Tribolium castaneum: one gene and its partners. The protein of the gene in region 2 purifies or fractionates together with the protein of the main gene of each other region. This does not show direct contact. Links are inferred from orthologs where the notes say so. Each region holds a gene or a part of one and is shown on either strand. Other genes may lie near its edges. The genes, in order: F-BAR domain only protein 2, AP-2sigma and Rlip.

What was found.
Region 1: the proteins of AP-2sigma (region 2) and F-BAR domain only protein 2 purify together in Homo sapiens (co-immunoprecipitation; 3 studies listed by BioGRID and IntAct, counting the BioPlex papers as one, with this or other methods). This does not show direct contact. The link is inferred for Tribolium castaneum from reciprocal best matches to the Homo sapiens genes AP2S1 and FCHO2.
Region 3: the proteins of AP-2sigma (region 2) and Rlip purify together in Homo sapiens (co-immunoprecipitation; 3 studies listed by BioGRID and IntAct, counting the BioPlex papers as one, with this or other methods). This does not show direct contact. The link is inferred for Tribolium castaneum from reciprocal best matches to the Homo sapiens genes AP2S1 and RALBP1.

The regions. Positions count from the first base shown.
Region 1 is NC_087403.1:5,305,487-5,309,246, reverse strand, and holds the start of F-BAR domain only protein 2, read left to right. Parts: upstream 1-968; 5' UTR 969-1,218; exon of another isoform or gene 1,219-1,262; 5' UTR 1,263-1,288; coding exon 1,289-1,318; intron 1,319-1,406; coding exon 1,407-1,498; intron 1,499-1,550; coding exon 1,551-2,221; intron 2,222-3,760. UniProt on the Homo sapiens protein: Functions in an early step of clathrin-mediated endocytosis. Has both a membrane binding/bending activity and the ability to recruit proteins essential to the formation of functional clathrin-coated pits.
Region 2 is NC_087396.1:14,084,589-14,087,028, reverse strand, and holds AP-2sigma (AP-2 complex subunit sigma), read right to left. Parts: upstream 1,456-2,440; 5' UTR 1,322-1,455; coding exon 1,319-1,321; intron 1,239-1,318; coding exon 1,089-1,238; intron 1,047-1,088; coding exon 771-1,046; 3' UTR 578-770; downstream 1-577. Other genes in the region: Trax (translin-associated protein X), read left to right, coding at 1,532-1,547, 1,595-1,814, 1,865-2,268. UniProt on the Homo sapiens protein: Component of the adaptor protein complex 2 (AP-2). Adaptor protein complexes function in protein transport via transport vesicles in different membrane traffic pathways.
Region 3 is NC_087403.1:3,536,298-3,540,057, forward strand, and holds Rlip (ralA-binding protein 1), read right to left. Parts: upstream 2,503-3,760; 5' UTR 2,361-2,502; coding exon 2,273-2,360; intron 2,222-2,272; coding exon 2,092-2,221; intron 2,047-2,091; coding exon 1,838-2,046; intron 1,786-1,837; coding exon 1,524-1,785; intron 1,478-1,523; coding exon 1,300-1,477; intron 1,253-1,299; coding exon 539-1,252; 3' UTR 493-538; downstream 1-492. UniProt on the Homo sapiens protein: Multifunctional protein that functions as a downstream effector of RALA and RALB. As a GTPase-activating protein/GAP can inactivate CDC42 and RAC1 by stimulating their GTPase activity.

The DNA of each region.
Region 1 (3,760 bases), on a different chromosome or scaffold from region 2:
ATTTTTTTTATTATATTTAGCTATTGCTGAATTTACAAGCTATCATTTTGACTGATTATTGCTGTTGCCTCTATATAGTGCTAACTATTTTATTATTTTAATTATTCAAATAAACTTTTTAATCATAGCAGATGTTTTACTTATAACGTGCTATTCCTGTTTTACTCTTCAGACCATTTTCCCAAACGGGTCAACGACCATTTAAAAGCCAGTAGTAATCTATGGATAATAATCAATTCAACTAACACCCACTTTTCAAATTATGACCCAAAACGTATCTATACCAACAAAGACCAAACATACCTCACCTACATCCGACACTATCTTACACAAACATAAATACTCTGCCTCCTCTCCTGCTATAAATAACTAAAGCTCTACTATTCTTTACATTAGAACATTCCGAGCTTTTACCAGGTAAGTTGAAAAAATATTTTTCATTTTACCGATTTTTAAGAGACTACTAAGTTATCAAACTTTATTAAATGTCTTTATAAACATTTTTTACGACTGTAATTATAATCATTGGACAACTTATTTCGAAAGCACGATCACCGGTTTTTACATCAAAATTTTATAGTTTAATTATGATGACTCATATTTTGCTGAAATATGGGGTACGTGAATTTTTTATTTTGCCATTCATCAAACTAAAAATAAACGTTGTCAACACAGTAATAAGCTCAAATAACTTATCGAGTTGAATTTTTCTTTAAATAATGGTCCTGATCGAGCATGACATTTATGGCTTTTAGAGTTTTGTCCCCTGTCTAGGCCCCGTTACTTCAATATCGAGCCCACGTTTCCACCTCATTAAAAATTAGTCATCGTTTAAATAAATTTTTGAAGTGTTTGATTTGAAATAAATTGGCGTTTGGCGACCAGCGGGTTGGTGCTATGCAATTTGGGTGCAGTAGTGTATTCTTGGTCGTCTAGATTGGACGGTAACGCCCTCATACGTCACTTCGGCTGTATCAATTCTGTGATGATCCGCCCCCTACGATCTCGTTATCGCAATTAAATACCGTCAAACGGGTGAATGTCGTTAAATGTTGAATGGCAGATTAAGTTAAGGGGTTGATTTTTGTTAATTTCGATTGGGAATTAGTTGTTTATGTTAAATGTTGTTTGTTGTGTGTAATTAGCGTTGTCTGGTTGAGAGGAAGTCGTAAACGAATGACGGTTGTGATTGTTTATATTCGCCGTATACTAATCAGAGTAATGTGCCCTTACTTTTTTGGCTAGTGATAACGCATTTTCAGTCATTTGGCATGGTTATAGTGCAACAATGACCGTCGACTTCAACGATTATTTTTGGGTGAGTGTCTAACCTAACCGAGGAAGTGTATCGACGTCTCCACTTCTAATCTAATTAAGATTGTTATTATCCGATTTTTACGACCTAGGGCGAGAAGAACAATGGGTTCGACGTTCTATACCATAACATGAAATATGGCCTAGTTGCTAGCAAAGATCTTGCCGAATTGCTCAGAGAACGGTAAGAGACGTCCCTGTTGTGAGCAGCAATTTACTAATTTTCGCGTCATCAGATCAAACATTGAAGAGAACAACTCGAAACTACTTGCCAAGTTCGCCAAGCAAGCAGGAAGTTGTTGCAATCAAGGCACTTTTGCCCCATTATGGCAAGTCTTGAAGACCTCGGCGGAGCGTCTTTCGGCGCTCCACATGCAAATGGTGCAAAAAGTGAGCGACTTGGTCAAGGAAGTGAACAAATACGCCGAGGAACTTCACAAAAAACACAAGACTGTCAAGGAGGACGAATCTGGGACTCTGGAGTCGGTCCAGGCCATGCAGAATGTGACTTTAATGGTACAAAAATGCAAAGACACCTACACCCAGCGGGGACAGGAATTAGATAAGCTGCGCAAAGATAACGCCAGTCCGAAGGAGATAGAGAAAGCCGAGTTGAAAATGAAAAAAGCGCAGGAGGAGTACAAATCCTACGTTGAGAAATACACAGTTATCAAAGACGAGTTCGAGAAGAAAATGTCAGTCACTTGTAAGAACTTCCAAGAGCTGGAAGTTGCCCATTTGGGCCATATGAAGGAGTTCTTGAATTCGTACGCAGAGGTCGTAGAGTGGACACACGAACAAATGGGGAAGGTCCACAAGGAGTTCAGACAGCAGTGTCTTGAGCTTACCGTGGATCAGTTGCTCGAACAGTTCGTTCGCAACAAATCCACGGGACTTGAAAGGCCAGGTAAATATTTATCTTGGCAAGGTTGGCGTATTTTATTACCGTAATTTGACACAAACAAAGGCATTGTTATATGACGGGCTTACAATTAATTGGAACAAACAGAAATTTGAGAGTAATTGAAACAAACAAGACAATATTGCGCGTTCGGAAGTGTTAAGTTACCTGCCGGAAAGAGGAAATAAAAAGATTTGCGAGAGAACATAGCATTCCACATTACAGCTCCAATAAAAAATTATGTTTTCAAATACCCATAAAATTTCAAATGAGGTTTTGAAAATTTCAAAATAAATTGTAGTTTTTAGTTTTTTGTTTTGGAAATCTATAATGATTTTTTCATGCTCAACAATAATGAATAATGATCATTACATTTTTTTAAATCAAAAAGGAACTTGATGATGTCACAGTAAATTAGTGTACTCAAATATTACTATTTGTTTAGTACTATTGTGTCGATCTTCAATTATAAACTCCCTTATTTCAAAGAAATACTATTGATTCACTATTGACTTGTGTTTGTACATTTTAAAATTCTGCCCTGTAGCGAACGAAGTCGTATAACCAACGCGTGTAACAACATAATTTTACGTCTGTAAAATACAACTAGCAATTTACATTACATTTAGGGATTGCTCTAATTAGTCATATTGACGATGTTAAATAAATAACTGATTTGTGCAGCAAGAACTATATACGTTGATGTTTAGAGCATTTTTAGAAAAAATACAATTCACTTATGATTTTTATTTTATTTATTTTAAAATATGTGAATAATATTACGTATTCTCACATCTCACAGATCAACAATAAAACTTATATTATTTAATTTTCAATACCTCATTTATTGGCAGTAAGTAGAAGAAACTTAAAATGCACTGACCTTTCTGTCCCATCGCATCATCTTCTTAAACGGACCTACTGAAATAAAATACAATGAAATTAGAACAATGTGTCATTAAATTATAGTTGAAAGTATTACAGGTTTAATGTAATTTTCCTAAAAAGAAGACATTGTAGACTTACCCTTAAATCCGGATCAGAAGTTTCCTCTTGGAAATCCCTTCCAGTAGCACACAATAACTGCGAACAACACGCACTAGCCAACGAATTTGAAACTTTTAAACGACAAAATTTTGATTTGACTTGTCTATTCGCGACAACAGCAAGTAACAAACTGAATAAAACTAAACGGCACAACAATAATTGTGTAAGAATATCGATAAATCGTCACCAACAAAAAATATAATATGTGAAATAATTGATTATTACAAGGAGGGAAACGAAGAGATTTGTATGATTCATTGATTTGTGTTACGACTTCGTTACTTAACGATTTCTTGAGGTACCTACTTGAAAAATATACAGGGAGGTGCATTTTTAAGGCCGGGTCGCTGAAACACATTGCTTGAGCAAATAATTTCGGATAAAACATTTTAGGGAAATTTTTAAGTATTCGCAACTTCGGAATTAATTTCAAAAAAGGCCAGATTTACTGATTCATTGTCGAACCTGTTCCCTTAAAAAGGGCACGATTTATAAAAA
Region 2 (2,440 bases):
GAGATTTGCATTTTCATATCTTCTGACGAACCACCAACGACTATGTGGGGGTAAAGAAAAAGTAAGCAGGAGAAAGCTCTTGGAAGTATTATTGATGAAGAAAGAAGTTTCTCCAAAAATAAGAGTTTGTTCGCTTCATTTCAGAAAAGATTACCTTCCCAAGAGTAAGTACCTTTACCATAACTGCATGGTAAGTCCAAAGAACTTGGTTAAGATGAGAGTACTCTTGACCACGTTTTTATTTAGTTTAACGAAATGATGTAAGAATTATTTCATGTATTAATTGTTGAATAAGATTCAGCAGCAATTGTAAAAAAGGCGAGACTTAAAAAAACTGCAGTTCCATCACTTAATCTCCCTAACGTGGAGACAAAATTATCAAGCAGAAACAGAAAACGCATGCGAAGTATTCCAGAAGGCATTTTAGATGAAGAAGACGTAACTGTTGCCCGTAACAGTTGAGGCATAATAGAAAATGCCAAATTTCACAAGGTAAAACTTGAAGCTTTTATTAACTTTTATATTTGAACACCAGCATTTATACACTTCTATACTTACAATAAATAAAAATTCGGAATGTATTTATATTGTTCATGTTGGCTCTTCATACATAATTCATAATTAAATCAATAAGAAATTTACACTTCAGATATACACCCAATCTTGCCGATATTTTCTAACTTAAACAACGGTCCTGCATTTAAACATATACACAAAAACAGGAATGGCATAAAATAAGATTCTACAATATGATATCGTTTTTGATAAAATTATTCAAGTGAGTTCAACATTAGCAACTGCTTGAGTACTTTGGTCTGGGACGTCTCCCTGATTTCGCCCGCCAGGAACATCTCGTCAACAACGGTATACACTTTGTAAAAATTAAAAACGAGGTCTAGCTCACAAACATTGTGAAAATATTCATTGAGTACTTCAACAAAGTTATGTATTGCTTCCAAGTAGCACAAGTTATTGTCGTTCACGTCGACGCATATGCAAAAGTAGAGGCCGGCGTATCGACGGTAGACAATCTTGAAGTTGCGGAACTACAAAAAGGCATCATTCAAGCCCCCATTTGGACAACTCACCTCAACAAAATTTGTGTGTTTCGCGTCGCGAACTGTGACCACGGCGTGCACCTCCTCTATCAGTTTCTGCTTCTCGTCGTCGTCGAAGTTCATGTACCATTTAGCTAGACGTGTTTTACCCGCCCGGTTTTGGATTAATATAAAACGAATCTGGGAGTCAAACAATTGGTTAGAATCGATTAAGCTTGTCGAGAACAATTCACAAACGTAGTACAACACCAGTAACTCACCATTTTTTAAATTTCTGATAATAATTCGGCAGGTTTTGTTATTTAATTGAACAAAACCTCCTCCCAACGAGTCAGATAACAATTTTTTGGGGCACTTCTAGGGATTTTAGGTGTCACTGTCAGTCTGACAGTGATAATTGAGGTTAGGAGTGTCCATAAATTAATTTGATTCTTCTTGAATGTATTTTTTTATGTAAACATTTAAGTCTTATCATGTCGCGAAATAGAAGTATGTTGGAAATATTAACTTTCATTCATGACATTGTTGAACTTTAGATTCAAGACATGGTAAATCGAAAATTACAGTTGGCGAAAAGGGGCGCCAAGTGCTGGAAAATATTGACGAGAATAACCGTGTAATTAAGATGTTTCTTGGATTTCGGAAAGAACTGGATGAGAAACACGACCGTTACGAAAAAATTGTAAAACTGAGTCGAGATATTACAATCGAAAACAAGCGTATCATTTTCTTGCTACATTCTACAAACACTGATATGTATGATTGTTGTTGTTTATAATCTGTTTTAATAGTCTAAACAATTGTAGAGAAGGGAAAAGAGAAGCTGTCTTGGATGAAGCTTGCAAAAGACTGAAAGTTATAACAGATGAGAATTTTAAAACTATAGCTTCAATTCTCAAAGATTTTGATTCTTATCAATATCAGAAGGCTTACACAAGTGGCCTACAGGAATTTATTGAAGCCTTGGTTTTTTATCAGTTCCTGCATTCCAATAAAATTGAAAGTTGGGAGTCTATCAATAAATTTTTCCAGTATGAGCAAGATGGTGAAAAATTCAGTCTTTTATTTCCACAGCTTGATTTCATATTAGGAATTGCGGATTTTACGGGAGAATTAATGAGACGTTGCATTAACAATTTGGGAGTAGGAAATGTGAGCGACTGTTTCAAAACTTGTAATTTTGTGAAAGATATCTACACAGGGTTTTTAGGTAAGTTCTAACTCAAAAATTAGGTAGAAAAATTATTTTTCTGGAATCGGCCGTAAAATAGGGGAAATACTCCACAGTATACTTGACTGTAATGTTGGTTGCCTATCTGTGTTGATTAAAAAAAAACCAAGAATAAAAGTGTATTTGTGTAAAAAAATATACAAAATGTTAT
Region 3 (3,760 bases), on a different chromosome or scaffold from region 2:
CGACAATTTAATCAAAAGTTGAGCAAACTTGATTATGATTGTTATTGACGTGGGAGTCATAAATGGGGTTTTGGGTCACAGAAGACTTACCACGAGATGGTCCCTTGAGGCTTCGATTCAAAATGTGACTTATAACAATATAATAAAATGAGCAATGTATACACACTAAACACTAACGAAACTCCTTATCTTATTTATTGACTTTGCCAAACGCCAGCAAACATCACAAGGGACGGTCGTAAAAATCCAACAAATAACAATTAAAAAATTAAACACCTTCAACCACTTCCTATTCTAAAATAATATCGGACATGAAACAGTACGAACTCACTCCCCACTAAAAATAAAAACAACACGCACAAAAACATGTAAAAATACTCGACTTAAGTAGTGCTAGCGCCGCCTGTTGGCTTAGTTCAGGCGCATTGCTAGTTGCATACCGTAACCTTAGGCCCACTCCAATGTCAAGTCTACCTAAATTTAAACCCAGCGTCAATTTGAACATTTATTATATACAGTTACAATAATACTGGACACATTACGACTTGGCTAAAATCTGCGCTCTCAGCTCGATGCACATCTCCTGCTCCTCGATGATCTGGCGGACCAAGTTGATCTTCTTGATTTGCAAAATTTGGTTCTCCTTGAGGAACAGGTCCATGACTTCGTCCAGGTCCTCGTTGGGCACCATCGCCACGGGCGGCACCTCCCCCGTGATCTGCGAGCGCAGCACGGCGATCTGGCCGCGCTCCGCCTGGATGTCCTTCAGGAGCGAGTCTCTGAGCAGCAGCAGCCCCTCGTTCTTGAACTTCAGCAGCGCGACGCTGCCGTCCAGCTCCGACTCCTCCTCGCTGGCCGCCTCCTCGGGCTGCGCCTCGGGCTCGGGGGCTTCCACCTTCTCGACCGCTTCCTTGTCGCGGTTCGCCGTTTTCAGCTTGCGCTTCAGCTGCGTGATGATCCTCTGCACCTCCCAGAGGAGCTCCTCGCGCTGCTTCGAGATGCAGCAGACGTTCATCTCCTTGTGGATCTGGGTGAGGAGCGACTCCTGCTTCTTGAGCTCCGTCTCGATCTCGGGGGGCTCCTCGGGGAGCTTGGCCCCGGACTCGAGAGGGGGCACGTAGCGCGCGATTGTGATTGTGGGGAAGAGCGCGAGGCAGTGGTGGAGCAGGGCGTGGAGGAGGCGCGAGGAGCAGTGGAAGGTGTGGTTGAGGGCTGTGGAAATGGCTTGTTTGTTCATTTTGTTGCATTTTTCCTGCGAAACGCGCTATACTATGGGGGCTGGGGTGTTAAGGCACTCACATTCAGAGAAACGTTGTGTAAATGGGTGATGAGCCAGCCGAGGAGCGTTTTGTTGTGGGGAGGTAAAAGGTCCACTAAAATTTTTAAGTGTTTTTCGCGAGTGTTGAGATTAAGGATGGCTCCGGCTTCCTCGAAACGTATTAAAAGGTCGTTTGTAAAAAGTGGTTCTGGTAAATCTCTGCAAAGAGTTTTTGCCCATCATGTTACACCTAAGAAAAGGTTACCTTAAATAGGTTTTTACTAAACTTGTGACGGTTGGAGGGTCGTAGTCATTTAAATTGATATTGCCCCTCTGATTGTACATTTTACGTATTTGGAGAACTTTTGATTTTGTTCCGCTGATTTTGTATATGCCTTCGAACGACATACCTACGGTTTCTACATAGTCTATACATTCCCGAATGGGTAAAGGAATGTCTACACCGTCATGGCACCGGCTCCTCTCAACAGCCACGTCTAAACTAGCCCCGAAAATCGGTAAAATATCTGGAACGAACAATTCATTCCAATTTTATTGTCATTATGTAAGAGTTCTCACCGCCGATGTCAGCGGTCTCGTCAATTGACTGTTTGAGTTTCTTCGTTTTCTCACTCTTGACTTTCTCCTTGTCCTGCTTCTTGTCATTCTTCTTATCCCGGTCTTTCTTCTTGTCGAGATCTTTCTCTTTTTCGCGGGATTTGTCCCGTTTTTCTTTGGCTTTGGTGGAGAATTTGAACGGTTTGGCTTTTTTTGTTTTCGACGGGCTTCTGAAACATCCCAGTGAGGGTTTGAGTGATTGCAGGTGTGATTACCTCGACTTGAAATTTTCATCAGCTGAACTTTCGCCTTCTAAAGCGGCATAACCTTTGTCTTTATCCTTCTTCTCTTTGCGTTTTCCGATGAGAATGTCCTTTTTCAAGACTTTCTCATTTTCGTCACTATCTAGAAACGAGTTTTAATCGGGAATTAGTGGTTCACTTAATTTATTATTACAGTCGCTGTCGTTATTGCACTGCTTATTTAATTCGGATGCGTACAAGCCTGGGAAATCCTTCATTACGTCGGGGCTATCAAAATCCATATTGACACGGTTGGGTTTGAACTTTTAATAAATAATTATGACACTATTTTCCCAAGGGAATTTGTTGCTAAGCATGTTAAGCTGGGATAAAACAGAAACAACACAAATCAAGTCATCTGAGTGGTGTAATATGACAGGTGCTTGCCCTGCCATCTCTTGAAGGAACTGGTGTTGAGGGCCGCCTTAACCGGGAGATTCGAAATAAAAGACGAGCTAGTTTTGTAATTTTTTTTAATTTTTTTTACGTGTTACAGGAAGACAAATCTTTGACCACACTTCCACAACACACTTTACAAACTAACTTAACTATGTAATAAATTGCAAGGAGTTGAGCAAAAAAAACGTTTAATTATCACAAGATTTATGTGTTTTTTCGTCTCGCCTGCAATCAATTGTCGATTGCACGTGGTTGGTTGCAGGCGAGACGGAAAAGCAGATTTTCAACTATCTTAAAATGATGAATTAGTACTCTAAATACAATATTACGAAAACACATACAAAAGAACTCCTTGCCTGTCCTATGATTTACATTTTCATAAACATACCAAAGGGAAGGTCATTATAAAAATATATCAAGAGTAGTTGACACCTAAAACTGTTAACAATATAAAACAAATGGGATTTAGTCGTATTAATAAAAACAGAGTTTCAAGTAACAACACCTTTGTCTAGTCTTGCCCCTAAACCAGTTGTCAAGGGGTCCTAACACAACTTATAAATATCCTCAAGCTAGATCAAACGAGAGGAGTGAAAGAAAATCCGGCAACGTAACAAAGTAAAAAGTAGTCCCTACTACGGGAGAAGTGAATGAAAATCCGGCAACGTAACAAAGTAAAAAGTAGTCCCTACTACGGGCGGAGTGAAAGAAAATCCGGCAACGTAACAAAGTAAAAAGTAGTCCCTACTACGGGAGGAGTGAAAGAAAATCCGGCAATGTAACAACGTAAAGAGTAGTCCCTACTTTAGATCGAGGCTACGCGCAAAAAAAAAACAATAATATAATAACAAAAGAAACGGTGGTTGTGTCATTAAATGGTATTAGAACAACGAGTTGGCGAGTGGCGTTTATCTATAGTCTTGAAACAACATTACAACTAAATTTTTTTGGGGAAATGCATACCTTAAGTAAATAAGTAAAATTTACCATCGTATGATTGCCATTTTCAATGAAAAGTGCAAACATTCTTAGCTCAACTAAACGTACATTGATTGTATTGTTTTCTAATGAACCAACCTTAAGAAATCTCAGCTAAGCAGTTATACGTGTAGCCCAGCTACATAATGCTTAATATATTGGTACACACTAAAGCGAAAACGAAACAGCCTATTTTTTAGATTTTATATATGAAAGTATTGTGGAGTGAGCCCATATGTATGTACAAAGTATAGCGCAGTCATTA